Linked DNA regions of Arabidopsis thaliana. The protein of the gene in region 2 purifies or fractionates together with the protein of the main gene of each other region. This does not show direct contact. Each region holds a gene or a part of one and is shown on either strand. Other genes may lie near its edges.

Evidence for each region.
Region 1: the proteins of PREP1 (region 2) and RANBP1 fractionate together in Arabidopsis thaliana (co-fractionation; one large-scale study listed by BioGRID). This does not show direct contact.
Region 3: the proteins of PREP1 (region 2) and AT3G62510 fractionate together in Arabidopsis thaliana (co-fractionation; one large-scale study listed by BioGRID). This does not show direct contact.
Region 4: the proteins of PREP1 (region 2) and AXS1 fractionate together in Arabidopsis thaliana (co-fractionation; one large-scale study listed by BioGRID). This does not show direct contact.

The regions. Positions count from the first base shown.
Region 1 is NC_003076.8:23,678,578-23,686,051, reverse strand, and holds RANBP1 (RAN binding protein 1), read left to right. Parts: upstream 1-4,116; 5' UTR 4,117-4,337; coding exon 4,338-4,489; intron 4,490-4,618; coding exon 4,619-4,770; intron 4,771-4,857; coding exon 4,858-4,983; intron 4,984-5,503; coding exon 5,504-5,733; 3' UTR 5,734-5,989; downstream 5,990-7,474. Other genes in the region: PMR5 (Pmr5/Cas1p GDSL/SGNH-like acyl-esterase family protein (DUF828)), read left to right, coding at 373-734, 1,012-1,183, 1,266-1,444, 1,518-1,676, 1,772-2,108.
Region 2 is NC_003074.8:6,624,972-6,635,834, forward strand, and holds PREP1 (presequence protease 1), read right to left. Parts: upstream 7,194-10,863; 5' UTR 6,904-7,193; coding exon 6,618-6,903; intron 6,352-6,617; coding exon 6,177-6,351; intron 5,803-6,176; coding exon 5,628-5,802; intron 5,500-5,627; coding exon 5,367-5,499; intron 5,287-5,366; coding exon of another isoform or gene 5,249-5,286; intron 5,237-5,248; coding exon 5,166-5,236; intron 4,944-5,165; coding exon 4,860-4,943; intron 4,764-4,859; coding exon 4,673-4,763; intron 4,562-4,672; coding exon 4,041-4,561; intron 3,964-4,040; coding exon 3,799-3,963; intron 3,729-3,798; coding exon 3,510-3,728; intron 3,438-3,509; coding exon 3,310-3,437; intron 3,074-3,309; coding exon 2,884-3,073; intron 2,223-2,883; coding exon 2,139-2,222; intron 2,051-2,138; coding exon 1,953-2,050; intron 1,779-1,952; coding exon 1,514-1,778; intron 1,425-1,513; coding exon 1,262-1,424; intron 1,177-1,261; coding exon 996-1,176; intron 905-995; coding exon 833-904; intron 749-832; and 3 more. Other genes in the region: PARC6 (plastid division protein), read left to right, coding at 7,839-8,141, 8,441-8,554, 8,632-8,769, 8,845-8,949, 9,041-9,163, 9,374-9,742, 9,845-9,940, 10,085-10,201 and 2 more. UniProt on the Arabidopsis thaliana protein: ATP-independent protease that degrades both mitochondrial and chloroplastic transit peptides after their cleavage. Also degrades other unstructured peptides. Specific for peptides in the range of 10 to 65 residues.
Region 3 is NC_003074.8:23,119,717-23,125,869, forward strand, and holds AT3G62510 (disulfide isomerase-like protein), read left to right. Parts: upstream 1-3,114; 5' UTR 3,115-3,136; exon of another isoform or gene 3,137-3,472; intron 3,473-3,619; 5' UTR 3,620-3,621; coding exon 3,622-3,744; intron 3,745-3,839; coding exon 3,840-4,058; 3' UTR 4,059-4,075; downstream 4,076-6,153. Other genes in the region: AT3G62499 (YTH family protein), read left to right, coding at 203-433; AT3G62500 (F-box protein RMF), read left to right, coding at 707-1,238, 1,445-1,561, 1,636-1,668, 1,781-1,951, 2,051-2,158, 2,256-2,325, 2,413-2,478, 2,564-2,650 and 1 more.
Region 4 is NC_003071.7:11,862,518-11,870,418, forward strand, and holds AXS1 (UDP-D-apiose/UDP-D-xylose synthase 1), read right to left. Parts: upstream 4,482-7,901; 5' UTR 4,327-4,481; coding exon 4,051-4,326; intron 3,893-4,050; coding exon 3,800-3,892; intron 3,699-3,799; coding exon 3,591-3,698; intron 3,312-3,590; coding exon 3,197-3,311; intron 3,122-3,196; coding exon 2,988-3,121; intron 2,900-2,987; coding exon 2,798-2,899; intron 2,689-2,797; coding exon 2,596-2,688; intron 2,507-2,595; coding exon 2,371-2,506; intron 2,280-2,370; coding exon 2,167-2,279; 3' UTR 1,760-2,166; downstream 1-1,759. Other genes in the region: HDT4 (histone deacetylase-related / HD-like protein), read left to right, coding at 25-95, 188-408, 521-540, 625-660, 754-812, 904-1,045, 1,141-1,190. UniProt on the Arabidopsis thaliana protein: Together with AXS2, catalyzes the conversion of UDP-D-glucuronate into a mixture of UDP-D-apiose (UDP-Api) as the main product and UDP-D-xylose to a lesser extent, via a cycle of oxidation and reduction.

The DNA.
Region 1 (7,474 bases), on a different chromosome or scaffold from region 2:
ATCAATAGAAAAAAGATTCATTTCAAATGTAATTGCTACCAATAATAGGTTGCGTTTATAAATCTAACTACTAACCATGTGAACATGCAGAAGAAGAAAAGAAGTCCATTAAATCCTTCACATCTTTAGCAATGTTGAAATTTGAAGTTTATTTAAATTTATCATATGACCGAATAATACAAATTTTGAAAACTGTAAAATATTAACACAAGTAAGAGGACCCACGTGAAGACCCATACCCAGTTGCACAGAGACAGACACACAGATGAAAAATGAAAATCTCAAAAAACTTTCTTTCTTTCTAAAGATATTTCTCCAATCTCTCAATTATTTTACAGCTTCCTTTTTTGTTTTCCACGAAAAAGCAAAAGAATGGGTTCTCTTCTTCCTCTTCTTGGCATCTCAGTAGTCTCCGCCATTTTCTTTCTGGTTCTTCAACAACCAGAACAATCTTCTTCAGCCATTATACTGAGCTTGAAGAAACGCCATGGAAGCTCCTCTGGTAGTAGTGGTAACCAGTACAGTTCAAGCAGACCATCAGCTGGTTTCCAAGGGAACAGGAGCACGTGCTCTCTCTTCCTCGGCACGTGGGTTCGTGATAACTCTTATCCTCTCTATAAACCGGCGGATTGTCCCGGCGTCGTTGAGCCTGAGTTCGATTGTCAGATGTACGGTCGTCCTGACTCTGACTACCTCAAGTATCGATGGCAACCTCAGAATTGCAATTTACCCACGTATGTACACATACTCATCTTCTTCTTCTTTCTTTTTTGTCATAAAGTTTTCTAATTTTCGTGGTTAAATCTTTGAGTTTTCTGGTAATAGTGTATACCTGTGTCGTTATTGGTAATGAGGTTCGATTTCGTCAGAATTTTACTGAGCTAAGTTGTCAAAATGTATTCTTTTGGCAAACCCATTTGAAAGAATTCTACTTTAAGATATTACGACTGCTCAAAATCAGAGATTCTGTGGTTTTAGTGTTTGATTTCTGGTCTTTCACAAATGGATTAGGTTCAATGGTGCTCAGTTTCTGTTGAAAATGAAGGGCAAAACCATAATGTTTGCGGGTGATTCATTGGGGAAGAATCAATGGGAGTCTTTGATCTGCCTTATTGTTTCATCTGCACCGTCCACTCGGACAGAAATGACCAGAGGCTTGCCTCTCTCCACCTTCAGATTCTTGGTAATGCTTTCTTCTTATTCTTCAATGGCTCACATCTTGTTTTTCAGGTTCTTCTATAAGAAAACTGTTTTTTGATGTATAGGATTATGGGATAACAATGTCATTTTACAAAGCTCCGTTCTTGGTGGACATAGATGCTGTTCAAGGCAAGCGTGTGTTGAAGCTGGATGAGATCTCTGGTAATGCCAATGCTTGGCATGACGCTGATCTCCTCATCTTCAACACTGGTCACTGGTGGAGCCACACCGGATCTATGCAAGGGTAAGTTACCACACTTCCAATGACTTGATTTTCTAGTGTGAAAGTTTCTTTATATATCTTCTTGTGAACACAGATGGGACTTGATTCAATCAGGCAATTCTTATTACCAAGACATGGACCGTTTTGTGGCAATGGAGAAAGCACTTCGTACTTGGGCGTATTGGGTCGAAACTCACGTTGATAGATCCCGAACACAAGTCTTGTTCCTCTCCATTTCTCCAACACACGACAAGTAACTCAGCCTCTCTTGTTATATTGGATCATATTTTCTGATGTTTTTGAAATGAATGTCCTGACACCATTTGTATACATTTTGGGATTGATCAGCCCGAGTGACTGGGCGGCATCATCGTCTTCAGGATCCAAGAACTGCTACGGAGAAACAGAACCGATCACAGGAACAGCTTATCCAGTGAGCTCCTACACAGATCAGCTAAGATCAGTGATTGTTGAAGTGCTTCACGGGATGCACAATCCGGCGTTTCTTCTCGACATAACACTCCTCTCTTCCCTAAGAAAAGACGGTCATCCGTCAGTATACAGCGGCCTCATTAGCGGTTCACAAAGGTCTAGACCAGACCAGTCTGCAGATTGTAGCCATTGGTGTTTGCCTGGTTTACCTGATACATGGAACCAGTTGTTGTATACGCTTCTCATCTATTAGCTTCTTTTTAAATCTCTTTCCATCAAATTATTCGGTTAGTAATATTTTAACACATTCGAAGAGAGAATCTTAAGATTAATCACGGAATCAGTCAATTGTATAAACTTTTTGAGGAAATTTTCTTTCAAATGAATTATAATTTTTATTCCATGCAAACAAAGCATAGTAACAAGAAATTTAACAATGGCAAGCCCAAAACAAACAGTATTGGGCTTTTAAAAAAATACATTCGATGGGCTTATTGGAAAAAAGCCTTTTAGGGTTTTCTCAAAACCTCTCTACTATAAATAGAGGAAATCCAACTTTAGAGTTTAAGAAGAAGCAATCCAAAATCAATTCACTGAAAAGCTTCGTTTTTAATCCTGTAGTTTTCATAGGGTTTGGTGTTCTCTCTATTGTTGTTATTGGGCTTGCCTTTTGTCTAGGATTATCATGATTTATGTTTATTGAAAGATTGGCTTCATCAGATAGTCTATGTGGATTTGTTCGTTCCCATATGATTCGTTCCCTTGAAGCAAAATCAATCGTGTTGCTTTCGTTATTTATATAATTCTCCCTATGAATCTTCGGTGATTTCGTATTTATACGATTTTTGCTGATGTTGATTTGGGAGAATCACAACTGAGCAGCTATATATTATTCGTATTGAAATCTAGATTTGGGTTTTTGTATAAGTTTTTGGAAGAACAGTGATGAGTCAGTTTACAGACCTGTAATGATTGCGGTAATGATCGCATTATTATGAACATCTAAGGGACTGAGTTCTTCTTTCTAATATGATTTAACAACTTCAATTTGTTTTTGTTGGTTAATGTTTTTTTGTTTAATCTGATAAAGAGGCTGATGAAGATTAGATATTAATGGTTACTGAAATTTCAATAAGTGTGTTGATATACTATCTTCTTGACTAGGACTGCTGAGGCTAATCTTTGAATTCTAAGGAATTATGTTTTCTCTTTTTGATTTAATGAAATTAGATTGTGGATGATGAGAACAAATATGAAAAAACAGTTATCCCTGTCTGAGGATTTTAATCCCTTTGATGATTCATTTGTAATCTGACACAACCTTCCAGTTCATATCGTTTTGGGTTTTGCTTGTTGACTATTTATTTCAGACCCTAAATTATACAAACACGAAGATTTGTCATTGAAACAACGCAGCTTCATTCAAAAACGGATTTTAAAATTGGAAATCAGACAAATGACTAAGCGGGTCCCTTTTGACTTTAGCATCAATATTCAATATTACCGTGCCAGTAATAAGAGTTCTCGAGTCCATGAAATGATGTTGTATCAGTTTTCGTTCAGCATTTCAATAAATTCACGATGTTTTGGTCAAAATATCTTACTACCTATCGACTGTTATCGGACTTCAGGTTCTACTCTTTGAGTCGTCGACAATGAAAACGTTTCTTTTTCCTACTGTAACGAGAAGGCAAACAAGTGGTATTTTGTTACGATAAAAAACAGGTCAAAAAAAAAATTTGTTAATTGAATGTTTAACACGTTTCCAAAATTTATAAATGTTCATATTCAGCTTACATTGTACTAGCATCGGCAGTAGTTGATTGAATACTAGTGTCGAGTGACATCAGCTTGATATCAAAGCATGATTGATTACATTATATAATATCCATTTGTAAATAATCCACCTCTCAAAAAAAAAAAAATTAATAAATAAATAATCCACCTCCGTTCATATATAAAGATTGTCACGGTGGTCTACCTTAACACTACAAAGGCAGTCCACGACTGAGAAAAAAAAAGCAGTTCAAATTTTTTTCGTATGTGTTAAGGATGGAGTACATTCATAGAGCATCATCTACATTCTACTCCAAGATAAATGTGGAGTATCTGTATTACTTTTAGTTTTGTAAAGAGATTATACATAATTTAAATATGGTACATTACTCATTACAGGTCTTTGAGCTGTGGCGTTCCTTAGCCATGATGTTTCATCCTCTATATTGTCGATACGAGTTCACACTTTCTAGCTTCATCTACATACCAAAATCATGAATTGTCGTATAGGGCCTTAATGGGCTTAAATGACCGAGATAATGACCTGTTAGCCCACTAGAGATAATTCAGAAGCCTAACTTTGGATATAAAGTTTAAAAACCCTGGTTCCAGTTTTTTCTTCTGGTTCTCGAAACTTCTTCTCCCAAATTGAACAACCAAAGAAGTTGCAGAGCACACACACACACTTTCAAGTTTCAATACAGAGATGGCGAGCACTGAGCCAGAGCGTGAGAACCGTGAAGATGAAACCGAAGTCAACGAAGATGAAGACACCGGAGCTCAGGTAGCTCCGATCGTTAGGCTTGAAGAGGTTGCAGTCACCACCGGCGAAGAAGATGAAGACGCCGTCCTCGATCTGTATGTTACTCGTTCCGTTAATATTCTAGTTTCCTTGCCTCTGGTTAAAGTGAGTGTTGGATTTTCGATAGAAGATGAGTGTCGGATTTTTGATAGAAGATGTATTCTTCTGGGTTTATGATTTTGTAGGAAATCGAAGATGTATCGATTCGATAAAGAAGGGAACCAATGGAAGGAGAGAGGAGCTGGAACTGTGAAGTTATTGAAGCATAAGGAAACTGGAAAAGTTCGTCTTGTTATGAGACAATCTAAAACCCTAAAGATCTGTGCCAATCACCTCAGTATGTTTGATTCTCTCTCGAAGAAGATCTTTTTTTTTTTTCTTCGAAAGGGCTAAACTTTATGTATCTTTTGTTGAAATTATGCAGTTTCGTCTGGGATGAGTGTTCAGGAACATAGTGGGAATGAAAAGTCTTGTTTATGGCACGCTACTGATTTCTCCGACGGCGAGTTGAAAGATGAGCTTTTCTGCATTCGATTTGCTTCCATTGAGAGTAAGTTTATACTTGTGAAATTCGTATACTTGTTTTTGATTGAGAGTAACGTGGGTACATTTAGTAGTATTCGATGTTTAATTTATGATAGTTGAATCAGGGAAGATGGTTTGGAAGGTATTCTTTATAAGACTCTAGTTGTGATGATTTAAGTCTCCCATGAATTGTGATTCATCAAGTCCATATAGATAGCTCAAGACTGAAATGGAATACTGCTTTTGTAGTGGCAATACTTATAATGTTGCCTCATTTTATAATTTTAGGGAGACATTGTTGTCTTGAGAATAAACATCTCAGGCCATTTTCCAAGACTCTGTTGGTCTCTGCGGTTGTGGGTCTTATCACTAAACAAATGAACAAAAGGGTTCCATGATCCTTAAGTTGTGCTAAACAACTACCATAATCGTATCTATGTTAAATTAGACGCTGACATAATCTATGAGATTAATATCCTAGGGTCTGCATCTGTCTTTTTGGTTTTAGATTCTCGAGTGGCTAACTGATAGTGTTGCATCAACAGATTGCAAAACATTTATGGAGAAGTTCACTGAAATAGCTGAAAGCCAGCAAGTAGGGAAAGAGAGCACCCAGGGCGACGAGGCTGCTGGTTTAATAGAGAATCTTTCGGTTGAGGAAAATATAAGTGAGGAGAAAGCCAAGGAAGCAGAAGAGAAAGAGCCTGCAAAGGAAGATAAAGAAACAAAAAAGGAGAAGGTAGAAGAAGAGAAGAAAACAGAGGCAAGCACTTAAGTGATCAAATTAAAATTGGTTGTTGGCATCACTAAGTGTGCTTTGCTTTATTTTAATATATTATACTTGGCACTGAACATGATGGTAGCTTCAAAAGTTTGAGTCTTTGCGCTGTGTTAGAGAAAGAGAATCTTAAGATTTTTTTTTATGTTGTTGCTGTGTAAGTGTTTGACTATTGTGTCGTCTCTTTACTGTGTCAATTTGGTTTAAGATAATAGTATTCGGCATCAAATTAGTATCCTTGCTTTCATCTTCAATCATCCGAAATGGATTTGTGGCCAGCAGGTTACACAATCTGTAATTGACATGTTTGGTGTTGCAGCAAAGGGAACAATCATGTGGTGCTTCTAAGAAGTAAAAACTAGTTAGTTAATTTTGGACCCAACAAATTTGTATGGACCCTAAACCTATAATTCGAAAGGCTCCACCACAAATAACACCATGTTTTAAGCACTTCTCTATCTCTCTTTCACCATTTAATTTCCTCTGACCATGAGCTGTTCCTGCATTGAATATCAGATTTTATCTTTTATGCCTCATTTCTAAGTACCCTTGTATGTGTTTTTCTAAACGTTTATCTTCACAATAGCACTAGTAAGTGGATGTATGATAATTGATACTTTGATGTATGTGCCAACTATTTCTTACATACAATTGTACATTGTAGGCTACAATTTGTAGCACAACTATATTATTACTATTTACTAGAAATGGCGAAAAAAACAAACAATACCGAACATCAAAGTCGAAACTAAACTTTTATAATAAATCATATTTTTTAAAAATCATATTTTAGTTAATTATATGCAAGAATACTTATATTTATATGATTATACGATTATATCCAAACCAAAACCAAAATAAAATGTGGTTTTCTAACTCCGACTCATTTCTCAAAAGTGAAAAGAACCCAAAATGCTTAAACCAAACCAAATCAAGGAACTGAACGCATAAAGCTAAGAGTTACAACATGACCAACAAGGAACAAAAGAAAATAGGTCAAAAAGAAGTAAAGAAGGCTAAATGCTTGGAAGTTGGAAAAATAAAGGCCCAAAATAAGGAGTAGTGTTGTGGTGTTGGCAACTGCAATTGCAATCCTTATTTTATGGGAAGAAGAGTCACTTTTGGTCAATAAAGTTCTTATTATAGACTCCAAATCTCTCCCCCCCCCCCCCCCTCACCTATCTACATTTATATCTTTCTTATTATTTCCATGACTGCCATTTTCATGGAAAGTCATTTTCTCGCACCTGTTTGACAAACAATTATTATACCACTCAAGTACAATACCTGCACTTCTATGTGAATAATGCAAAAATATAAGAAAACTCTTAAATGACCCTTAAGCTAATCGAAATTTAGGAAGCATTATTCTTTTATTCTTTAGTACTATAGTCTATAATATTGAGAAGTGAAAAAAATTATCATTTTAGAGAATCATGGGGATTTGTTCCCTCCGTCGCCTTGACGAGTCACTTAGTTTTGAAGATTTACCATCAAAGACCCTCCTCGGCTCCTCGTGGTTAGGTCCTGCGCACATCGAATATATATGTCGCAGGTATAGATGATATGATACTATAATATATGCTTTTTAAGAAAAACGAATAAAAGTAGTAGTATAAGATTTGATTAATAGAGAAACGTGTAAAGAGGTTTTGATGAAAAAATTGCATAGCGTTCCTCGTCTTCTACTTTTGCTTTATGTTCACGTAAAATCTTCCGATCTCTCACCCTACTTGCC
Region 2 (10,863 bases):
TCGTAGTTACTACATAATATTTTGGGCAGGCCCTAATATTTTTGTATTGTGCGATGAAAATGTAAACTGGATGATAGAATGATGTATACGAATCTATGAAAGTATTTTAGACTAAGTGGAAAACTTACTAAATAAATTTGAGGAAAAATGGGAAAAAATGAATTTACGAAAGAATCTAATAGAAAGTAACACATGCTAATATATTTTCGTAACATTTGTCTTGTCGCAATGCAATAAGTCATTACGAAACTACTTGGATTTTTTTTTCTAGGGTTGTTGTCTTCGGAAATTTCAGCATTTTTCGCCAACTTAATTTTTCAGGGGTTTTTGTTTTCCCGTTGGCGATTTAGCATATGTACTTTTATCAATTTTTAATAAAATTAAAACTGACCAAAAAGAGCAATGTGGAAAGGGAAGAAAATGAGTAAATTATTTTAAGGTTGGACATTGGTTGTGAAAATGCTTCATTTACTGTGAAAATTCGTAACGTTTGGACATTCAATAATATAGCTTTGACAAGACATTGACTCCGGTAGAAAAGAAACCAAGAGAAATCTAATGAGATTCTCAATCGTAAATAGTATTACTGAAAGTTGTCCAATCTGTTTAGAGAGCTTTCTTCACCTCGAAAAAGTTGGAGCGTTCATTGTTCGCTGCATCAATGTCTTCCGCGGATGCCACAGCCACCGCAACACCTTTATCTCTAACCACATCTATTGCTTGTGCGAAATCCTTGAAGTCCTTCAAACTGTGGAACAACAAAAGTTAATTAACACTTTTAGTTAGGATGCAGAAGAAAATTTATTGAGAGAATGTCCTTAATTTAACCAACCTTGTTGTTAGTATCTCTTCACGCTTTCTTTGTCGTTCTTCGTCAGTTACTCCGAGTAAATGCCTCAACAAACTGGGTGAAAGAGATTCAACAATTTTGATTCAGGATCCGTTATGTTTGTTCAAATAGGCAAACAGAAACAAAATAAAATAACATCATTTACCTGCTATAACCTTTGGCATCAGGTAATTGGTATGAATCAACATCACCGATGGTGCCAATAATAGCTTTAGTGAGTGTTTCTTGATCCACATCAAGGCCACGTAAGAAATCTCCAGTTCCATCATATATATCAAGTGTCTTCAACAAGTTTGGATCCCGGTACGATAAGTAAGAAAATACTCCTGAACAAAGATATGGCCAATAGAAGAATATATTAATTGACGTAACTCTTTTCATATTCAAGAGAGTAGAAAGCAGTTATTGTACCTGAATGCGAATCGAAATCACAGAAACCTCCATATGCACCACCACTTACACGAACACGATCCCATAACCATGTATTGCTAATATGCTTTGATATAACATACGCACTGCCATCAAGCTCATACCCGGTGCTGTATATGTTACCCGCTTTTCCAACATAGTTTACCTGCAAAGGGAGTATGAGAGCGAGTTACTGTATCAAAAATAATAAACCCAACCACATTCTATATTACTATATAAACGTCTTTTTTTTACCTGGGTTGGTATTACAATGGCTTCATTTCTCAGAGGAAGTCGACCATCCCAAGTGACAAGCCCACCAGACGGGTTCTCAGGGAGTAAATCTAGAAATTTTGCAACAGATTTTTCGACATTTGTGAGAGACTTCCCATCAGCAGTCATATTAACTATGCAACCGTTTCTAGCAAGGAGAGATCTTCTGATCTCCTCAAGCGAGGATGAAATTCCTTCCCAGTCTTCATCCACTTTCTTTTCAAGAGTATGTAAAAATTCAAGATAGCTACAAAAGAGAGATGCTCAACTTTGTTAGGTTCTACAAGTATCAAAAGAATAGTAGAGATAAACTCTAAAATGTGAATAAAGTTCATTCTCAACAGAGATCAAGACCAGAGAGAGAAGACGATATAAATAAGGGCCAAATTAAAAGTTAAATAAACAATTATCAAATTCCAACCTGAGACCACCCATCTGTTCAGACATCCATCCAGCAATGTTCAACATTGCATCCATCCTCGCCGCAGCAATTCCATGACCACTTCCCCTCAATCGGTTCTGCATAGAATGTGAAGTGATGTTTATACTACTACTTTCAAGTTCCACTTATCATGCAAAGACAGAAAAGAAAACCCCTACTACATACCTCCATCCGTGCTCTGCTTTGAGAGACAAACTGTTTAAACCTCTGCTGATCTGTAAATTGAACCTCTTGCAACAAGCAGTTCATCTGCAGGAAGACAAAAAGCAATGAAGATAAGAGCCAACCTAGAAGTTTGACAGAAAAAAAATCGAATATGGGATTGAATAAATGTCTAGTTGGATCATGGTACTGATTCATGAAAGACACTGAACATTTTGAAAAGTTCTTCAATCACCATACGCTACAACTGTTTCTATATCAAGGTTACATTATATCTTAACAGAAAAAAACAGGTTTGCAGTCAGAGTGACTGTTACCATAATCCAGTAGTCATAGGCTCATAGCGAAGACATCGAGAAAACATCAAGTACTTCTTAGAGAAGAAAGAGACAAGGGCAAAGAGATGAGAGAGGCAGCGCTTTTGTATTTTGGAAAAACAGGAAAAAAATAAAGATCTACACAGTGTCACAGACTCACAGTAACAGCTGCACTGTATCTCATGGAGACCCAAGCAAAAGAAAAATCTATCAGGTAGACAGCTCTACACATCCCATAACCTAACATACACAAATCTAAACACAAGCAAATTGGTAAACTACATTTAGCAAACTAACTACAGGGCCATGGAGACCGAAGAAAACATGATCGTGATCACGTAGGCAGCACTATATATCCCATAAGCCAACATACATAAAATTAGAGAAAAATGCGATAAGCTAAAGCAAGGGATTTTTAAATGACAAAGTACCAGGTTAAAAAGGTCGTCAGCACGCCCAGCCATGGATTTTCCGCGTACGATAATTTTGCTGCATGGTTCATCCTTACCCCTCACTGATGATGTAAGGGGATAAACTGATATCCCTCCCGTTTTCCTTCCAATCAACTGATTAAGTTGAACAAAAGTCAAATCTTTTGTGCCCATCTCCAGTAATGATTGACTGTCAAAATACATTTATTATCAGAGTTAGTATATCAATACAGTATGAACAGAAGTAAAACATTCGTTATTACAGCTGTCAACGTACACCCTAAAATATAAAAAAATTCCCATGCTTTTGAAAATGCATGGCAGAGAATCTAACAACATTCTTCATTTAGCATTCCCACCATACACATTTCTGGAAAAAGTTGGTAAGAAACTCATAAAGAAATCATAAGAAATCTTTAATCATACCAGAAAAGTGGTACTAGTGGAAGAAGCTCATGTTTCAGCGAACCAATATCAAAGACTACTTCAGTATAGATAATATCATTGGTGAAAAGGTCATGCCGCAAAACCTTCACACCATTAATATCTCCAACCTATTGTTTAAAACATATCAGTAAACTTCGCAAGCTCGGGAAATAAGGAAATACAACAAAAACAAAAGCAACCTCGGTGGGAACATAAGTAGGTTCTTTTGGAATGTCACCCAAGTTCAAACTTGGGACACATCTCAATGCTTCAGGAGGGTCAGGAGTTTCTTGTTTCAATTTCAGCTCCTCTGTAGCACGTGCTAGCTCTGCAAGATCTTCTTCTGTCATAGCTGCTTTAACTTTTTCCAGGATATTTTTCTCTTCCACTTCCTCTTGAGTAGCTTTTTCAGGATCAGGCTGGCAAAACTAGTGTTAGCACAAAAGCAAAGAAACATTATATAGCAACGAGAAACTTGTAAAAGATCACCTGCATCTCTATGGTAACACGATGCGAGTTGTTCAAGATAAGCTTCTCTATCAGTGGGGAAAAGACAGCCTTGGATCCCTCCTCAGCTATTCTGGTTTTCAGGGCCTTCAATGGTTCCGTATACTTTAATGGCTCAAAAGGATCCATATCGTATATCCATTTTGACTAAAAAAAACAATAATCAAATAAGGAGTGATACCTGAATAGACATACACGTAAGCATAAAATGCATATTAACTTACAATAGATTGGAGCATAAGTGATAAACCACGAGGGAAAGATCCTGTGTTGTTTTCCCTCAAAGAAAACTCAATTGTATTCATGGATGCCTCCACAGCATCATTGTCAAACCCTTCTTCTGCCAACTTTTTCAGAGTATCCATGATCAACTCTTCAACCTTTTGAACATTCTCTTCGGACACACCTTTCAAACCAATACCGAACTGGGGCTGCAAGAGTTCGTCTGACAACCCACTACTGACAAGAGCTTCTCCTAAACCGCTTTCCAATAAGATCTTTCTTAGTGGTGAAGCAGGAGTCCCCAGCATAAGATGATCCAAGAAGCCAAGTGCAAGTTGAGTTTGCAAGTCCAAGGGCTTCTCAGACAATAGCCAGTTAACGCACAACATATGCTTCTTTTTAAGGTCACCATCTCGACCAGCAGGATATTTCTCAACCAGTCTGACAGGCTCAGAGAATAGCTTTTGAAATTTAATCTTTGAACTATTGGGAGATGGACTTGCTTCAAACATATCCAAGTATTCTGCACATATAAGAAACGCAGGGATAAGATGTATTTCAAATCGACATAGACGACAAACACAAAAAATATGAGGATTCTTTCTAGTAAGACAAAGGAGATATCAATCTTTACCACTCAAGACACGGAGGCGGTGAACGGGATCATCATCTCCATAGAACCAGATCCTGGCGTTGCTTGGGTGATAATATTGACGGTGGAACTCCTAAAATTGTCCCAAAACAAGAAATATACTTAGTATGCATCAGAAGTTACACATTACAAGAAATATACTAGCATATTAATTTGACTTCTAACAAACCTTGAATTCCTCAAATGTCAGATTAGGAATATCTTTTGGATCACCTCCACTGTCAACACCATATGTATTTTCTGGGGATAAGGCCTAATAAAAGTGAAAACAGTAGTAGCTGATTTCATCAGAACCACTATATCAAGGAAATTCAAATATGTCTCAGATTATCTAACAAGGTTTTTGTTCCAAGTGTCCAAACGACTCTTTCATGATGGCTATATCATTTAGTTGATTAATAAGGTCAAAACCCAAGATCAGGTTAAACCAACAACGAGAAACTTCTAGTTATAGTAAGCAAAACACAATACTTGCCTGTTGAGCAATTCGCCCTAAAATATTATCAGGCTGTGAATAGACCCCTTTCATCTCATTAAAAACAACACCTGAAATCAAACATCAACAATGAGATAGGATGAGTGGGTATCTGAAGTAGCTGATAAACTAAAAGATATCATCGATACTAAGAAAAGTAGAGGAAAAGAGCTCTAAAATGGAATCCTAGGTAAATAAAACCTTTGTAAGATATGTCTTCCGAGGGATCATTAAGTTCATAGTGCCAGCCCTCTTGCTGAAAGGTGTGAGCGTCATCCACACACTTGGGGAAGAAGACAGCATCCAAATATACATCGACAAGATTGTAAAAATCCTACCATAGATAGTGATAGTGATGAGTTGTGATCAGAAATAGACTCACTTTAGATAACAATAACAGAAAGAAAGAGGTTAGCCCACTGAGGACAACAAAAGAAGGACTTAATGTTTGGCTCATTGTACCTTTGTATTGGTGGAAGCAACTGGGTAGCAGGTCCTATCAGGATATGTGAATGCATTTAGAAAAGTATGCAAACTTCCCTTGAGTAGTTCAACAAATGGCTCTTTTACCGGGTACTTTCTTGACCCACATAGAACGCTATGTTCCAGTATGTGCGGAATGCCAGTGGAATCCTTCCTGCATTAACAACGAAACTATGATCTAAAATTGCTTCCATTATTAGTTTTTGCAAGTCTTTCACAAGGAGGTGCCTGTGGGACCAATATCTACTGAAAGTGCAGTTGCTCATATCGACTTTTAACAAAGCGTTAAGTAATTTGACAAGTTGTAACCTCCAAAACTTAGACCACTTTACAAGTACCAATATATTAGAAGAAGAAACGAAATGACTAGGTCTAATCAGAAAAAAAAAGCTTTGATGAGTAGAGATAAACTTGACCATTTCAATTAGTTAAATTCAAGGAGTGAAGCTTTAGGTACCAATTTCAATTGCCTAATACATACTCAGGTCAAATTTACAGAGAGTAAAAATTATTATGAAGTAAACTTACGGAGGAGTTCTGAAAACAACACCGAAGACCTTGTTCTCATCCTCATTTGACACAGACATCACCTCGCAACCAGTTTTCTTGTGTTTGAAGAGTATCGCCTTTGATTTACACTCTGAGATGAATTCTTCCGACACTTTTTCAAATCCAAGCTTCTCAGCCTCATCTTGACCTACATCTGAATCCAAACAACCAAAAATAAGGAAAATCACGCATCAGCAGAGGTTACACATGGCTCCATTTGATTACAAAGTAGACACAAAGCATGAGATGAAAAATGCACCACACGGACCACACCTATCTACAATTCACAACCTATCCTAAAGTAAGAACCACAATTTCACAAGTGCCACAAATCAACATGTCCGAATTAAGAGAACAAATCAATTAGCAATTAAACTTCAAACAGATTGAAAAAAAGAAGTATATGTGAAAAATTCCAACCAGGATAAAGTGGAGCGGGTTGTGTGGCGACGGCGCGAACAGAGAGGCGAGAGAACTGCCCATTGACACTGCGAACTGCGGCGGAGGGAATCCTCAAACCTCGTCGGAGCAAAAGACGTCTACCGGCGACTGAGGGAGAGGAAATTCGGCGAAGATTGCGACTGGGGACACGGAGAGCTGCCGTCGACGATGTGAGAGACATGTAAGAGCGAGGGAACTGACGAAAGAAGCGAAAGAATAGAGAGGACGAGCTGCGCGAAGCTAAACAAGAGACGGTTCGGAGCATAGCTACCGGAAAAAAAATATTCCCGGCGGAGACTGCTACTGACGGAGACGAAATTAAGGATATTGCAAAGAAGCTAAATAAACCCAACGGCAAGAGGTTTTATCCTTGTGTAGTTGTGTGTTTTTGCTTGTAGAGGAAAAAAGTAAAATAAAATAAAATGAAATACCTCATTTCTTGTACAACACACAAAATTATTGTGAAAAATATTCTCTATTTTACTAAATTGGCATTTTATTTTTCTGAATTTTTAAGTCGGGACAAAAAAGAGGTGCTGATTTGCAAGAAAGGAAACGTGGTTCTCATATAGCCAAATGTGTTTGAGTGTTGCAATTTGCTATCCTCCAAAAATATAATGACTACAAAATATCTTAAATCTTTTTTCATGATATTAAACTTAAGTGAAAGTATTACAAAATCTGATCAAGTTAAAAGTTTACACCAGACATATACTTTCCAGGTATTTGATTCAGAAAAAATCATATTGATCAGATTTAAACAAATTTTAAATTATATATAAGTTTTTTCTTACACACAAATTAAACCTTTGATCAGTACTAGACTACTGGTAGCATGCGATGAGCTTGCAGTAGTTTCTCTCGCACATTAGTTATGGGCCGAGAGCTAGGCCCATGTCCAGGGACGGATAAAATAATCTTCCAGATGTTTCTTTATTATCCACGTGGCGTGATCACGTGACCACGTCTCGTCTCGTCTAGTCCTAGATTAGCAGAGCCTCTCTTTCGGCCAGCGGGTTACCTTATTATCGTCACAAGACGAAACTTTCAGAAAAAGGCAAAAATCACTGTCAAAACTCAAAAGCCTTGAGACCAAATTTCCGATTTTTTCTCCTCTGAAGAAATCCAACAAATTGTACCATGATTCCAGCTTCACTCTACTTCTTCTAGGGTTCGTTCGTTTTCTGGAGCTGTTGCGCAATGCCAGTAGCTTACACATTTCCAGTTCTCCCTTCTTCTTGTCTGCTTTGCGGAATCTCCAATCGCAGCACCAGCTTCGTCGTAGATCGCCCGGAGCTTCAGATCTCAGGTCTCCTCGTCGTTCGTTCTGAATCCGGTGAATTCTTCGGTTCTGGTTTATCTTTGCGGCGGTTTCAGCGAGAAGGACGGAGGAGGTTGAATGCTGCTGGTGGTGGTATCCATGTCGTCGACAATGCGCCGTCTCGTACTTCTTCTCTCGCTGCATCTACCTCTACAATCGAACTCCCGGTTACGTGTTACCAGGTATTTTGCTCCGACTGACTTACTTTTCGGAATCTCTGTAGATACTACTATCTCTCGCGATTTGCTACTTAGCTCCTCGTTGAAGTGCAAGTGGAACTTGTTTTTATCCTTCTAAATTTTGTTGAAATAGAAACATTTTCCTCCAATTTGTAGTCTCTAGCGCGTAGAACGAGATGGATGTATTGATTTGGCAATTTAATATTGTATCATAGTTCATTTCTGCAATAGAGTGTAAAGAATGTAGCGTTTCGTTTGTTAGACATTATTCCAGGATACTGTTAATTGTATTGATTTTGCAGCTTATCGGAGTTTCTGAGCAAGCTGAGAAAGACGAGGTCGTTAAGTCGGTTATAAATTTGAAAAAAACTGATGCTGAAGAGGGTTATACAATGGAAGCTGCTGCAGCTCGCCAGGTTAAGACCTATAGTATCACTAGAGTTGGACAGGGAATGTGGCTTCAGTTTCTTGATACTTTGTTCTTAATGTGTAGGATCTTCTCATGGATGTTAGGGATAAACTTCTTTTTGAATCAGAATATGCTGGTAACCTAAAAGAAAAGATTGCTCCTAAATCTCCTCTCAGAATTCCGTGGGCATGGTTGCCTGGTGCTCTATGCCTTCTTCAAGAGGTACTACTTCTGACCTTTTATTGCGTTTTATCCCTGCAAATGTTTTGTACTGATCTTTCTGCTACTATGCTTCAGGTTGGACAAGAAAAACTTGTGCTGGATATTGGCCGGGCTGCTCTCAGGAACCTTGATTCAAAGCCATATATTCATGATATATTCTTATCTATGGCACTTGCTGAGGTAAAATCAAATGAACTAAGAATGGGAACTAGTTATCTACTTTCACTATCCTCTGCTTCTTCTATCTCTAATATGTTTGTTTTCCATTTAGTGTGCAATTGCCAAGGCTGCTTTCGAGGTTAACAAGGTCTCTCAAGGATTTGAAGCTCTTGCTCGTGCTCAAAGTTTTCTGAAGAGTAAAGTTACTCTTGGGAAACTTGCATTGTTAACTCAGGTAACAGGTTCTACTGTCTTGCATTAGTATATATAAAGCTTCTCTGAGTTTACTTTTAGCCCTGTTACTGGCTTGAATTATTAAAAGTGCATGATCATGCCTTACTGTAAATCGCATCATGTTTAGGAGCTTCACATATAAGTACGTATTGTCCAAAAGCATAATTTACCAGCATATTGGGTTTTAAGGGGTTAAAATTGATATTTATAGATTGAGGAGTCACTAGAGGAGCTTGCACCACCTTGCACATTGGATCTACTGGGCCTGCCACGCACGCCAGAAAATGCAGAGAGGAGGCGAGGTGCAATTGCCGCGCTACGCGAACTGCTCAGACAGGGCCTTAGTGTTGAAGCTTCATGTCAAATTCAAGACTGGCCATGCTTTTTGAGCCAGGCAATTAGCAGGTTATTGGCCACAGAGATTGTCGATCTTCTTCCATGGGATGATTTAGCCATTACACGGAAAAATAAAAAATCACTGGAATCCCACAATCAAAGAGTTGTTATTGATTTTAATTGTTTCTACATGGTGTTACTTGGTCACATCGCTGTTGGATTTTCAGGCAAGCAAAATGAAACGGTATATCTCGTTTTCTTTCCTTTTGTTAAATTTAGACTGATTGGTCCATTTCTTCTCTACTCTATCTGCTTATAAAGCATAACATTCAGTATGCTTGTGTAGATTAATAAAGCAAAAACGATATGCGAATGTCTCATAGCATCAGAAGGTGTTGATCTGAAATTTGAGGAAGCTTTTTGCTCATTTCTTCTAAAACAGGTATTTTTCCTCTTGCTTTCTTTATTCTTTTTCCCTATCAACTATGCTTGTGCATCTTATTTACTTCAAGTTCACTTGCTTCGAAAGATCCTTGCGTTGTTCATTTAGTTAAGTGCTACTGGACCTACATGTTGGATAGCACAGGGTTCCGAGGCAGAGGCCCTGGAAAAACTTAAGCAGCTGGAATCAAATTCAGACTCTGCCGTTCGTAATTCGATCTTGGGGAAAGAGTCGAGAAGTACTTCTGCTACTCCCTCACTGGTAAACCTTATGATTTTTACCAAGAATATGTGTTCATTTGTTGCTACGACTAGAGCGAGGGCTATGCCTGATGTAAATGGCATGATCAACTCTAGTGGAGTATGAATAAGTTTGAGCTATGTTTCAGGCTGTAATTGAAACAATGGAAATAGATACATTTAGTGGATGGTAGTTAAATTCATAGAATATGCTTTAACAGCATTGTGTATGCCTGCCGTTAACATTTTCTTTTTCGATTGGTTGTACATACACATAAATCTTAATATTTGTTTGAGTAAGCCCTTGGGTTCATGCACTAAATTTAATTTGGAAATTTTGCAAGTATGTACATCTCTTCGCTAGCTCTGATTTTTTTTCATAGAAAGATTGATAGCGACCTTCATACATGCTACCTATAAAATTGACCAGGAAGCGTGGCTAATGGAGTCCGTGCTTGCTAACTTTCCAGACACAAGGGGTTGTTCTCCATCTTTGGTAAGAATCAGATCACTACTGGAAGATTCTGTATAGCAGTTCTATTTTTATGCAGAAAGATAATCATATATACAACTTTCTGCAGGCCAATTTTTTCCGGGCTGAAAAGAAATATCCAGAAAACAAGAAAATGGGGTCACCTTCGATCATGAATCATAAGACGAACCAAAGACCACTTTCCACAACAC
Region 3 (6,153 bases), about 16 Mb from region 2:
GAAAACGTTGCATCTGATGTACCATAGTTTTTTCGAGTAAATTTTAAATTTTATTAAAAAAAAAATGAGAATTATTAGATAAACAAAGGTTCCGTGATATAAACCCAATTAATAAAAGAAACAACTTAGGCACAATATATAGCCTAAGAAGCTTTTTTAATTTTTTTTTTTAAAGAAGAAAAGAGAGAGAATTGTTCAATTGATGCGCGACGTCGGATTTGATGAAAAGGAAGTTTTCGACTTGGCGCCTACAACTACTTTTGTAGGCCTGAAAATTCACAGTCTTCCCTCATCAGAACACAATATCTTTCTCCTCCTCTTTTGTCTTCCTTCGCCGTCGATTTTAAGGTTTTATCTTCTCCGTAGTGAAAGCACTGATAATTTCTCCAAGGAATTTACGAGGAGGATTTGGTTTGTTTCTCCTGCGTGTTAGAGTTTTACGATTTCTCTGTCGTTTGATTTCTTAATTCTATCCTCTGAGAGAACGAGAATTTGGTTTTCGTTTTCGAATTTAGGGTTGAAGAAGCGGTTTCGCATTGGGTTTGTTGTCTATTGAGCCAATTTGCTAAAGGAATTGAAACGTTGCGAGTTTTTGTTTCCCGGAGGTCCGAAGTGCGAATCTGTTTTGTTTAATGAAATTAGGGGTTTGGAATCGGAATTTGAATAGTCGTTTATGTTGACTACGCGATAATAGCTGAGATAGGACATGATTTTGAAACGGATTTTGACGACATTCGATAATCTGAATCTGAAGCGGTGCAAAATTGATTTAGAAATTGAGTATGGTAGCCAAAAGGGTGAGATTATGGTGTATAAGAAGAGACAACGAGCAAGCGTTGATCAACCATGTAGCAGAGAACCCGGAGTTCTAACAAGTAGCTCAAGCTCCTTGACCAGTAGAGAAGAATCTCAACAAGTGTGCTCTGACCAGTCCAAGTCTTCGCGTGGCAGAGTTCGAGCGGTTCCTTCAAGGTTCAGGGACTCCATTGTTGGTACATGGAAATCCTTGAAGAGTCGCAAGGAAGAGTCGACGGAGACATGTATCTGGGGAAGCTCGAAATTGCATCGAAGCAAAGACCCGAAGCTGTTTCCACGTAAGGATAACGAAGACAGCAGCGAAGTAGATTGCGATTACTGGGATGCTAACTTTGGTATGCCGAAAAAGTCCGACGCCTCGCGTAAGGGCGTGTACAAACCAGAGGAATTTACAGTCGGCGATCTTGTCTGGGCCGGCTGTGGTACAAGCGCCTGATGGGGTCTTGAAACATTGCGTCCCTGGCGCAATACGTGTCATGTTTTTTGGGTACTCTAAATGGAAAAAAATTGTCAATTGTCAAAAAGTCGTGTTAAATATAGATGTATTGTACAGATCTTTGACTTTGAAGTACTTCATTTGCTGATCACAGCCTCATCTTTATCTGTTTTTTTTACACTGTAATTATAGATTGGATGCCGATTGGTGCCTTTGTGCTTGATTCTCGAACTTCACTCCTGACTGAGAGTTTGAGTGGTCGCCTGAAAGTCCCAAAGGAAGGAACCATAGAACGGATGTTACAAAAATGTCTTATTCATGATCTTCAGAAACTTTGTCAACTGCAGGAAAAACTGTAACATATGGCTTATCTCATTTTCCAGATTTACAGCTTGTGCGACCTGTTTGTGACCTCAGTACCTGTGAGGTAAAAGACACTAATCAACTCTAATCTGTTGCTGAAACTTTTGTATTGATCTCTTGCAATAACTAAATTGCAACTAAGAGTGTTTCTGTTTTACTATGTAGGAACAATGCAAACTCTTGATGCTAGGCACATTGAACTCTTCCTTAGTGAAGGCTACAAAGATGGAAGCTGGGACTACAATCTGATTGGATCTCATAAGTTGCAGAAAAACGCAAGTGCAGCTTGTGGAGCCATATTTGACCTCAAACACCATAAAGAATCTTCATCCTCAGGTAACTTCAAATCTTCATTACTGTTATGTTCCTTTACTTCTCCTCTTTGAATCATTCTCCTTTGTCTCATACAAATTTCACATGAAACCTCTATAATAGGTATTCTCAACCTCAAGTCTTGGACCGGACAGCCAGATATTTCCCAACCTAAAGCAGTTATCGCACCCCATGCAGTTGCTGTTCACACAAGATTGCGAGAAAACGAAGGTATATAACTTTGCATCATCAACCATCTTTATCTAGAAAACACAATTACAAATAATTCTCTTGCCAAAAGGAATTGAATCCAAATTTGTTGTTTCAGTTGCGGAAATCCAATCAGTATTGTGGCATTTGCAAGAGAGTATGGCAGCCCTTCAAATGATGGAGATTGGGTGAGAATATATGTGACCATGTTTGGTGAAATACAGACCTGTAAGAAATGATTACATCTATTTAGCTGACTTGATTTGATGTATTAGGTTTATTGTGATGAGTGTGATGTATGGCCGTATGGGTGCGACAATAATTTATATAAGCGCTTTAAGGTACACCTTCATGCATCTTAACTTTTGATTCTAAGTAATGAACACGCTTGTTGAACTATCACACTAATTTGGTTATCATCTTAAGGAACTGGAGCACAACAGTTACTATTGCCCTAACTGTAAAGTCCAGCATGAGCTTATCAATATTAGAAGAACAGAACTCAGTGTTCAAGTATATTGTTAACTTCTCATGTTCTCCTGATTTTATTGTTTGCATTTCTCCATTGCTATAATATGCGAGATTTCCTCACAACCTCTTTGGGATTGGTCTACAGAAAAGGCGACACAGACTGAGCTGCCTGATGAGATTAATGTAGTCTGTAATGGCATGGAAGGAACATATATCAGAGCATTTCATGCGTACGTATTAGATGTCTCAGCCTTATTTCAATTTCTTCATTTAGAAAGGATCTTATTTGTTTATGAATTATGACTATGCAGCACAATATCGTAAATTGATTTTTTCTCTGAAAACGATAAAAAATCCGTGTTTAATCCTAGGTTTCTGTTATCATTGTCTTGTTGTTTTAGAGATTTGACCAACACATTAATCTTTGAACTATTGTTTCAGAATTGAGTGCAAGTGTGGTTCATGTGGGTCAAGGAAGCAGTCACCAAGTGAATGGGAACGGCATACAGGCTGTAGATACTAGATAGCGTAAGAGTGAAAGACACAATGCTACCTCTAGAAAAATGGCTTTGCATGAAGACTTTGATACTATATGTATCTGTATATGTAGAAGAGTATCAGTTTTATCTAAATGACTAGTCTCCAAATTTGTGGTTTATTGATTTCGTCAGAATGGTAGGCTCTTTAACTGATTTAAGGTGAAAACTACATTGGTCTTTGTTCAGTGTTAGATTTGTCTTTTGTGGGTTTGGAATGGATTAAAGAGGAGTCTTTTACTGGATTTTGTTGAATGCTAGATTTGGGTTTAGTAAACAATGAATCCTTTACTGGTTTTGAAGGATGTTATATTTGAAACTGATTAGAGCTAAACCCTCTATTGCTTAGTGGTTCTTAATTTAAGGGTTTTGCCGCAGCTTCCCTAATTTAAGCTTGTTTTCTAATACAAAGTACAAAAGCAGTGTGTTCGTCAACTATCTTCTTACTCTGTTTTCGTTTAGAGAGTTTTTGCAGAGATGAGGAGAACTATAACAATGGTGATAAAGATGTCAATACTTATGATATTGATTTCATCAATGGTGATGAATATGGTCGAGGTTGAGGTTGACCAGATTGAATCATGGGTCAAGGACTTCCAGGTTTCATTCTCTTTTTCACACATTCACACAAGCTTTATGTAAAAGAAGTATATATGAAATCAATATAACCTAACCAAAGAAAATGTTTTCTCTAGGATGGAAAAGCTGCTGTCCACAAAAATTCTCAACCTATTCCAGCTGAGAACAACGAACCAGTGAAGCTTGTTGTCGCCGAGAGCCTTGACGACATAGTTCAGGTCAGCGAGCGGAAACGTTGTAGTATACGAAGGAGACAGGACAAAGGAAGACTTCATAGTTCAGGGTTGGTGATACTAGCAGAAGATGATGAGGAAGAACACGAAAAGATGGATTAGTTAAAGCTTCCAAAAACTGAATCAAAACAATCATTATTACATTAGTTTGTGGTTGTGGATTAGCAATGTTTAAGTAGTTTGATCTATCAATCTCCTGAATTTCTAGATTGCAGATATTTTATCTCATTTTGCTGTCTCACTTGATTCGTGGGTTATATTGCTTAATTTGATTTAAACTCTGTTTTGTGTGGTTACATAGGACTCTGTTTCGCCTGTGTATAGGAAGAGAGTAATGACGTTGAGTGTACAGAGTTGGAGAAGGGTTTCGAGAAAAAATTGTAATTCTTGAATTCGTCTCAGCTTGAGAATAGTGAGTCCATGGACTTTTACCGGATATGAGTTGTACAATGCAGAGACTGATCCCGAACTGAAAGCTGTTATGAGAGGACATGGGAAAAGCCATTGGCTTCGTTTGACCGGAAAGAATTTATGAGTAGTAAGTAGCATATCTAAAGTAAACGCCATGCAAACAAAGAAAACAATGATGAAGATATAAGAGCATCCACATTGGTGGGCTTTTAGCAAATGTTCTTAACAATAATTTTATAATTTATTTTGAAGTTAAGAGTTTTGATAAGAGTTTTTTTTTTTTAAGAGTGTATTTTGTCTCTTATATAAGAGCAAAATCTTAGGCCTGGGCATTTTAACCGAACCGAACCGAACCGACCCGACTCAACCGAACTCAAACCGATCCAAACCAAACCCAATCTAAGACTCAAACAATTCGGTTGTATTTTATCTCAACCCAAATGGGTCGGTTCGGTTCGGTTTTGAACCAAACCGAACCGACAACCCAATGTCTTTATATACTTAATTAATTAATTCTATAAATAATATTACAAATAACTCTAAATATTTATTTATCTCTAACTAAAACTCTAACCCTAAAAAGTAAAAACCTAAGGTTTACTTCTAACTTCGTTTCATTTGTTCTTCCGTCGTCTCTCTCTACTCTCTACAGCCACGGTATGATTTTTAACTACTCTCTAGCAATACAATTACGCTCATCTCAATTTTAGTTAAATATTATGAGTATATGATGATTTTTTCAATCTGTACGTACACCGCAAAGTCATGGAAAAGAAAAATCTGTGTTTGCGTTGTCTTGTTTCTTCTATTTACTTAGATTTTTTAATTTTTAAGAATAGGTTTCATGTAGGTTGGGTGATTTTGTTTGTTTACAATATATATAATATATTTTAGCATTCATACCAATAATCAATGGATTTTCGTGCAAGAAAACAGATCATACATGTTTATTTAGTTTACTAATAATGAAAGATGTTTTAATAGAAACGTAATTGTATTCTTTCAATTGACTAACAATTTTATACATGTTTTGTTTGTAGATGTCTAAAAGAAACACGACTAGCAATAAAAGAAAAGAACCCGAGTCTCCAACAGTGTCGCCAAAGGCAAAAAGAAAACTACCTACAAGATCAACAGCATGGAAAGTCTTTACGAGGTTGAAAGATGATGATAATAGTTGCTCATGCAATTATTGTGGTAAAATCTATTCATGTAATCCTGCTACATGTGGAACCAGCAATATGAACACACACATGAGAAAGTGCAAAGCTTATTTGGATCATCTTGAATCTAATTCTCAGAATGTCATAGTCTCTAGTGGTGGTGGTAATGGTGCTGGCATGATAAAACCTTTTGATCAAAACGTGTGTAGGCAAGCAACGGTGAAAATGATTATCATGGACGAGTTGTCGTTTTCTTTTGTGGAGAATGATGGGTTTAAACATTTTTGTGAGATGGCTGTCCCTTGGTTTACTATTCCATCGCGAAGAACAATTACTAGGGATGTTGTTGGTCTGTACAGAGCTGAAAAAACTGCATTGAAGACTATTTTAAGTCGTAATAGGCAGGCCATGTCGTTTACCACTGACATATGGACTTCTATTACGACATTGAGTTATATGGTCGTTACTGCTCATTTTATTGACATGGATTGGCAATTGCATAGAAGAATTATTAGTTTTAGTCCTATTCCTGATCATAAGGGAAAGACCATCGCCAATCAGTTTTTAAGATCTTTGGATGATTGGGGTATTGAGAAAGTATTTTCTATCACTGTGGATAACGC
Region 4 (7,901 bases), on a different chromosome or scaffold from region 2:
GTGATGAATAATGTTCAATTTTAGGTATCGAGATTAAGCCAGGGAAGCCATTTAAGGTGATACAAAAAGATGGATTCATGGTCCATGCCTCTCAGGTCTGTATCAGTTTTGTAATTCCTGCAAGTTTCTCTCTTTGTGTAAATCCATGATTGATATTGATTGTGTTACTTGTTGTAACATCTCTTAGGTTACCCTTGGTGACGTTGAGAAGGTTAAAAAAGATGAGACTTTTGCCGTTTATGTGAAGATTGGTGATGATGAGAATGGGTTTATGATTGGAAATCTCTCACAGAAGTTTCCTCAATTTTCTATTGATCTCTACTTAGGGCACGAGTTTGAGATTTCTCACAACAGTACAAGCAGTGTCTATCTTATTGGTTACAGGACCTTTGATGCTTTTGACGAACTATATCCTTTCTTTCATTGTCTTTTTCTAGTTAAATTCATACTCACTTGCAATTTTGAAGCTTTGTTTGTTTATCCTTGATTTTGTTTTGCTCTGCTTTTTTCTGATGCTCACGGATGAGGAGATTGATTCTGGTGAGTTTATAATTCTTTAGTTGATGATTTGGTTTACTCTATTATGAAGCTTGAAGCTAATCTTTTGCTTTTTGGTTTGTGTAGATTCTGAGTTAGATGAATATATGGAACAACAAATTGGTATGTTTACTTTTTTTACTAAGCTACTGCTTTGTGGTAGTCATATTTACATGTGTATCTCTTATGAAATCTAACTTTGACATTGTTGAAAAGCTGCTTTGCCTCAAAATGAGATCAATCCTGAAGAAGATGATGAATCCGACTCAGATGAGGTAGATTTTTCTTTTAAGTATTTACTGATTAGCAATGAATCAGTATAAAAAAAAAGGTAATCTTGTTGTTTTTTTCTGTATGTTTGGTTAGATGGGTTTGGACGAGGATGATGACTCTTCAGATGAAGAAGATGTAGAGGCTGAAGCACCTTTAAAGGTGGCTCCTCCGAGCAAAAAGATGCCAAATGGTGCATTTGAGATAGCTAAAGGTGGAAAGAAGAACAAGTCATCAGGTAACGAAAACTAAAGTTAAGATATATAAAGATAACTTTGCATATGAGATGAGAATTGTGGATTATTGATTTGGTTTAAAACCATTTTGGTGCAGGAGGGAAGAAGAGATGCCCATTCCCTTGTGGTCCCTCTTGCAAAAAGTAGAAGATATTTGCACACCAAGTCACATTTTTCCAATAGAAATTTTTACTTGACTGTATTGGTGAATCGTTGAGTGACTTATGAGGCTTTTGGCATCTTAAAATTTTTGGATTATTATAATATATGTTATGTTGTCATTTTGGAGTGTTAATGGGTTTAAATGAAATATGATTTTTGCTCTTTTCAAGTTCATAAAATTTCGAAGTTGCTGGCTGATTCATGATAAGTACTATACAATGTCGATATGTTATGATCTAATCTTGATCGCAATACTAAGTAGATGGAGTATATTAAATCAGAAATAGTTGAACTAGAATATGCTCTAACAATGTATTTTATGTACATGAGTTAGAAAGAAAGAAAAAAAGACTCATTTTCTTCTAGTTTGCTTTGCCTTCATTGAATTAAAAATTCAGTGAAAACAATTCAAAATATAAAAATAATGATAATGCGTCTGCCGGGAGTCGAACCCGGGTCTATTGCTTGGAAGGCAATTATCCTAACCGTTGGACTACAGACGCTACTTGTGATTTATATATTACAATTTAAAAATAAAATCGAATTTAATTGTCGAGCGTTCCAAAACTACTAGACTTTCTTTCATACTCTGTAGTCCACTTGTTTTTTTTCTGAACGAAACACAATGTGTTACTTGACAGAAGATAATTACATTTGTTCTTGTACTTGTACACATGTAAAACGAAGCATTTTAAAATATACACTCGAACATTTATCATTCGCTACAAACGATTAACCTCTTGCTTTCTGACAGCTCCGACATACATGGCCAAACAAACCAAACAAAAAGAGAAAACTTACAAACGAAAAGGTATACTTGGAACGAACCACCGTGATTATATCGTTTTCTTAAAAAGAAAAAAGAAAAAAAGTTTTCTCTGGGATGAAAAAAATAGAATCGAATAGAGTAAAATGCCAAAATGACGCGTGTTTAACGAGTTTCGTTGGGGTCTTGGAGAGTTTAGGAAGCCACTGGTTTGGATGTTGCCTTCTTCACAGCTTCAGCGTATGTCCTGTGCTGGTAGGTTAAGGTCGACTCGAGCAAGTCCCATAGCGATGTTTTCGGGTTCCATCCTATTTTCAAAGTCCAAAATTCTATCAGAATAGCAATTGATTTTGATTTTAAAGCATATTATCTATCATGTTGGTGATTATGAAGAATTACCGAGTTGGCGGTTAATGATGGTCATGTCTGGGATTCTCTTGTCACTGTCATCATAACCTTCCCCGTAAAACTCTTTGGAGCTAACATCAACCGTTGGGCTCTCAATGGCTCCTTCTCCACTCACTTTTGCGTAAACCTGAAACATGATTCGTTTTGAGAATTGAGAACCAGCGACAGAGAAATCAAACTATTTTCATAGTTTCCTAACTGATCCATCTTCCTCACCTCGGTCATCATTTCAGCGAGCTGTCTTACTGTAACTTCGTTGTTCGGGTTGCCTACGTTGAAGATGTGCCCATTTGCCCTCTCTGGGTTTTCCTGAACCACAAACATACAATGTCATTATAGGTTTTAGTTGAAACTACTTCGAACTTCTAACATTAACAGTTTGTAAACAAAAAGCTATATATCAGGCAATGGAACGTACAATCATCAAAAGGACAGCTTCAATAGCATCATTGATGTAGACGAAAGTTCTCTGTGATTCTCCACCATCTACAAGCTTGAGAGGCTCACGACGTAGAAGATTCTGAAAGATAGATAGAGATGCATTAACTAAAAGCTTGCATATATACACAGACTAGCATTGGGTTATATACTTGGATTTGAACACTTACGTTACTAAAGCAGGCAAGGACACGTGGGACACCTTCGCTAGGACCATCAATGCCGGGGATGAAATCCATCCTAGGTCCAATCCAGTTAAAAGGTCGTACGATGGTGAACTCAAGCCCATTCTCAGCACCCTCAGCTGTCACAAGAAACAAGTGAAGTTAAGTGTAAACCTTTTGTTTTTACCAACATCATCTTAAACAGAAATGCTTACCGTAAACAAGTCTCTCAATCAGTTGCTTTGCACACGCATATGACCACCTCTGCTTCTCAATTGAACCAAATATGCAAGGGGAAATATCTTCTTTAAGAACATAGAAAGCAGGATCCTGTAGAAAGGCACAACAAACAACATCAGTAAACAGTGAACCCAACCTTAGACGAATAATATCAACTATTCCAAGCTTCTATGGGTGTGTGATAGACTAGCGGACTAAAGTCTTAATTCAATTCAAAAATACGTTTAACGAGATCCAATGAGTAATTCATAATGTGGCTATTAAAACGAACGAAAACGTCAGCTTCAACATGTTCCTCAGTACATTCATCGATGAGATTGATAAAAAGACAATAACATGTGGAAAGCGAAATGTACAAAAAGGCATTACATCACGCAGAGGATGATCCTTAGGAAGAAAGCTTCCAATGGTTTTTCCATAAACTTCACAGGTAGAAAAGTGAATGAGACGCTTGTTGTTCTCAGAACAGTATTTCACCTAACAAAACCAACGCATTACACAATCATCACTGTCTCCATCAACTTCAAAAACAAGAGCTAAAGCAAAACAATGAACGAAGCTAAGAAGAAAACACATACAACTGGAAGCGCATCAATGAAATTGCTGTAGATAGTATCAAGAGGACGTGTATTGTAATCAGCTGGAGTACAGATCGCAGCAAGATTTATAATCTGCGAATCCAAAAAGAAACATCAGAATTACATCACAACATCACCGATCTCAATACATTGCGAAACATCTGAATTCCGATAACGAATCAGATCTGAGACTTCTATCATAAACACCGAAGAACAAGAGATCAAAAAACGAAATCGATAAGCATTTTTACCAGATCCGCCATCTTAACAAGACCTTCAAGTCTCGAATCATGCTTAATATTGATACGATGAAACTGGATCCGACCACTCCATTCAACGGTATCAGGCTCAAGCAAGTGTTTGATCTTATCGTTGTAAACATCGAGCGCAAGCACCTTATGTGGCGTCTCGGTCAAGAGCTTTTCACAGAGATGTGAACCGATGAAACCTCCGGCGCCGATCATGCATATTGTCAACGGTTGTATCGGTTTCCCGTCGAGATCCACTCTATTAGCTCCATTCGCCATTTTTTTTCTCAGATCAGAAAAAATAATCAAGTTCTCTGTAGAGAGAGAATCTAAAGAGGAAGAGAGAGTGGTGACGGTGGATATTTAAGAGAGAAGATGCATCGCATGTGAACGGAGGCAAATTGGTTCGTCGAATTTTGAAATCTCACTCTCTGTATCGGCGCGTGGTGTGTACTCGCTTCCACGTGATCTCGTTTAAATTGGAAAGGATGCGATATTTTATTTGTTCGACTAATCATTTTGTATGATTATTAATTATGAATGTTTAGTAGTCTAATAATTGTGTTTAAGAGTTAAGAAAAAACTTCTTTTTAACTAGATAAATCGTTCTTTGTAACTTTCGATTTTTTTTTTTGGGTAAGCCAAGGGAGACAAAGTCTCCCAAGATTTATTAATGAAAAAGAAAATTACATTCGCACTTGACGTGAAACCGTAGCTCCACTAGTGTCATCCAACAAAATAAAACGTAAAGAATCCGGAACCAAACTAAGAGAATGAAAACCTAATGGTAACGAAAATGCATAGTTGGCTAACCCGTCAGCAAGACGGTTAGCTTCCCTATAAACGTGTGAAATACGGACTCTCCAGTCCCTTGATATGAAGTCATGGCACAATCGTACCAGGAAAGACAGCGGATGTACCTCGTTTATCCCTATCTTCAAAAAACCCACAACAATCTCTGAGTCCACCTCAATCTCTAACCGTGTGACTCGTCGCTCCCAAGCAATGTAGAGGCCATAGTACACTCCCCATAGCTCTGCCAAAGGTGCTGAACAAACTCCAATGTTCAGAGCAAAACCTCCTCTCCAAGCTCCTTCCTCATCTCGTAGCACACCACCAGCAGACGCTAAACCCGGATTACCTCTGGAAGCCCCATCCGTATTAAGTTTCCACCAACCTTCCTCGGGTTTCGACCACGCGATCAGTCTTTCCACCCGTTCTCCATGACCCCCACTCAGTGTCCTGACTATCACATGAGCCATGGACGTCTCCCTAGCCAGATCCTTTAAGAAACGCACCCGATCTCGACATTTGTCTTGAACACCAAAAATGTTGCCACACCGCCATTTCCAGGCCCACCAAATAGACAAAGCAAATAAAGTTGACCAAGTACTCTCACAAGTCTTCCGCCTATCACCCAGATTAGCAAACAACCACTCCAATAACGATTGTGTAAAGAACTCTCGGCGCTTACCCGCAGGAACTAAGCGGATCCAAATGCCTTCCATAGCAGGACAATCACGAAGAATATGTATGATTGTTTTTTCAGCTCCTTTACAGATTTGGCAAATGTCCGAATCACTTAGATGCCTCCTCCTCCTCTCAGCATTCGTCATCAGAACTTGCTGCATTCCAAGCCATAGGAAGAGCCGCACTCTCTCCGGTACCACGACTTCCCATACTCTCTTGTAATTTCCGATTGATATCAAGTCAAATTATTAATTTTTATATTGAAAAGACATTTGGAGTATTTTTTTTGGGTTATTATTTCTGATAAAATCAAATTTACATTGAGAAGAATGGCTTTGGGGAATCAATACAAAAAGTCTTTTCTACGTAGAAGAAAACTTGACCCAGCAACATTAGAGATTCCATTTTGCATTACGAAACTTAAACTGGTTAGGAAATAATTTAATTATTTGCCCAAAAAGGGAAATAATTTAAACAAAATATGATTTTATTGACGTTATTTTAATTAAGCTTCAGTCTTAACTCTTAACTCTTAAGTAGTTTCTTAAATAGTGTGTCAAAAAAAAAAGTAAGTTTCTTAATACTGCTTCTAATTTGCATGTCGTAGTATCAGAAGTTTTTTCAACAAAAAAATCATTATGAAGAGAGTTTATATGAATATCGCTAACCATTATGTGGAATTGTGGATAATGGATAAATTTTGAGAACTAATTGGATTCATGTGTTGCCTCACAGTGAGCTGACGACCGTTCGATCATTGATATACATACACATATGATGAAAAAAAGATGCTAATTTCTCGTTGCTTTTTTTTTTTGGTCTTTTCAAAAAAGGATTGAGACAAAAAAAGAAGAGAAAAAATGATGAATAATTAGGTACCTTTCCGAGAAGCAAAACCCTCGAAACTCTCATCAAATATCCTAACCATACCTTTCTTTAAAATTTGGATTTTGCACAAATCCATTTACAAATTTAATTACTTTTTCTTTTCGTAGGTATATATTTATTTATACCTTTATAAATATATAACTTTATAGGAAGAAGTATCGTATAGTACTACTTCCTACTCGCTATACAATAAATAATACAATGCGAGGTTGTTTGTTTCTTATCACAAAGTTGTACCCTATGCAACAACATTCATATAATCATCCTTTTCCCGAGCATTTTGACTGATCAATGCTTCAGTGCTTCTTCATTATCATACAACACGTTCCAACCAAACTTGAATCATGTATTTTTCCCAAATCCCAAGTTACACCTAAATGATACCAAAGATTACAAATACAACTAAACATACTCCTAGTTTTTTCTTATGGAAAAGGAAAATTAAGAACACTAGTTAGATGCAAACAAATAAAAGGAGAAAACAATAAAAATATATATATATATATATGAGTGTCCGAATCGAACGAACTGAATAATGTGGAATAAGTTTGATTCGGGATAGGTTTTGTTTTCTGAATAATCTGCAAAACTGACAAACCGAAATCGAATAAACCGGTCGGCTCAAAGTCTCAGGTTTAGATATAGCCCAAATATGATTGCAAATCACTTAAAAGTTATACGGACACCACTATTTGATCAACATAAAACCATGTTCTACAATAAAGATTTAAGAATTTTAAAAATGGGTTGGATTGGCCTGAAACTGGATTGGAAAAATTGGTATTTCTTCCTTTAACTAAATGGCACACGATCAATTTCTAATTTCTCCAAAAATACCATTTCTTTTGGTATTACTAGGTACTAGCCCATGAAGATAAAAGAATTCATTTTACTTTATTTCATTCTAGTATATTTCTTGAACAATTCTAATGCAATTTCAATGTCTTGACTATACTCTTGATCCTCCAATCGAATCCACAAGATTTTCTACCAAAACCGCTTTACGACTTACACCTCAATCGTAACCATCCATGAACTTAATTCGGCCAAAATCGATTATTCTATTTGGCACGTTATGTTATGGACTGTTCATATACGTACCACGTTCCAAACTCGTTTGTATCTAAAAAGGAAAAATTATCTCACATTAGTGATTTTTTTTTACTTGCATCAACTCTATTACTATATACTAATATATATTACCATTACCATTTTGAACGCGTTACATAGACATTATTTAGTCATTAGTCAAATCCCTTTACTATATAATCCCATTTGAAATGTAAGAATTTTGAATGTTGACAGATGCAAATAAGGATTAGCATACAAAATTACTTTGTAACCCTTATTTACGTGATAAAAAAGTTTAGCCTATCGTTCCACTATTAAAAACATGAACATGTAAAAGTTGAATTTTCTATCTTTTCTTGTATCAACTATCAAGTAATTTGCAAGTACCTAAGTAAAAGAAAACAAATAAACACAACGATCTTTAT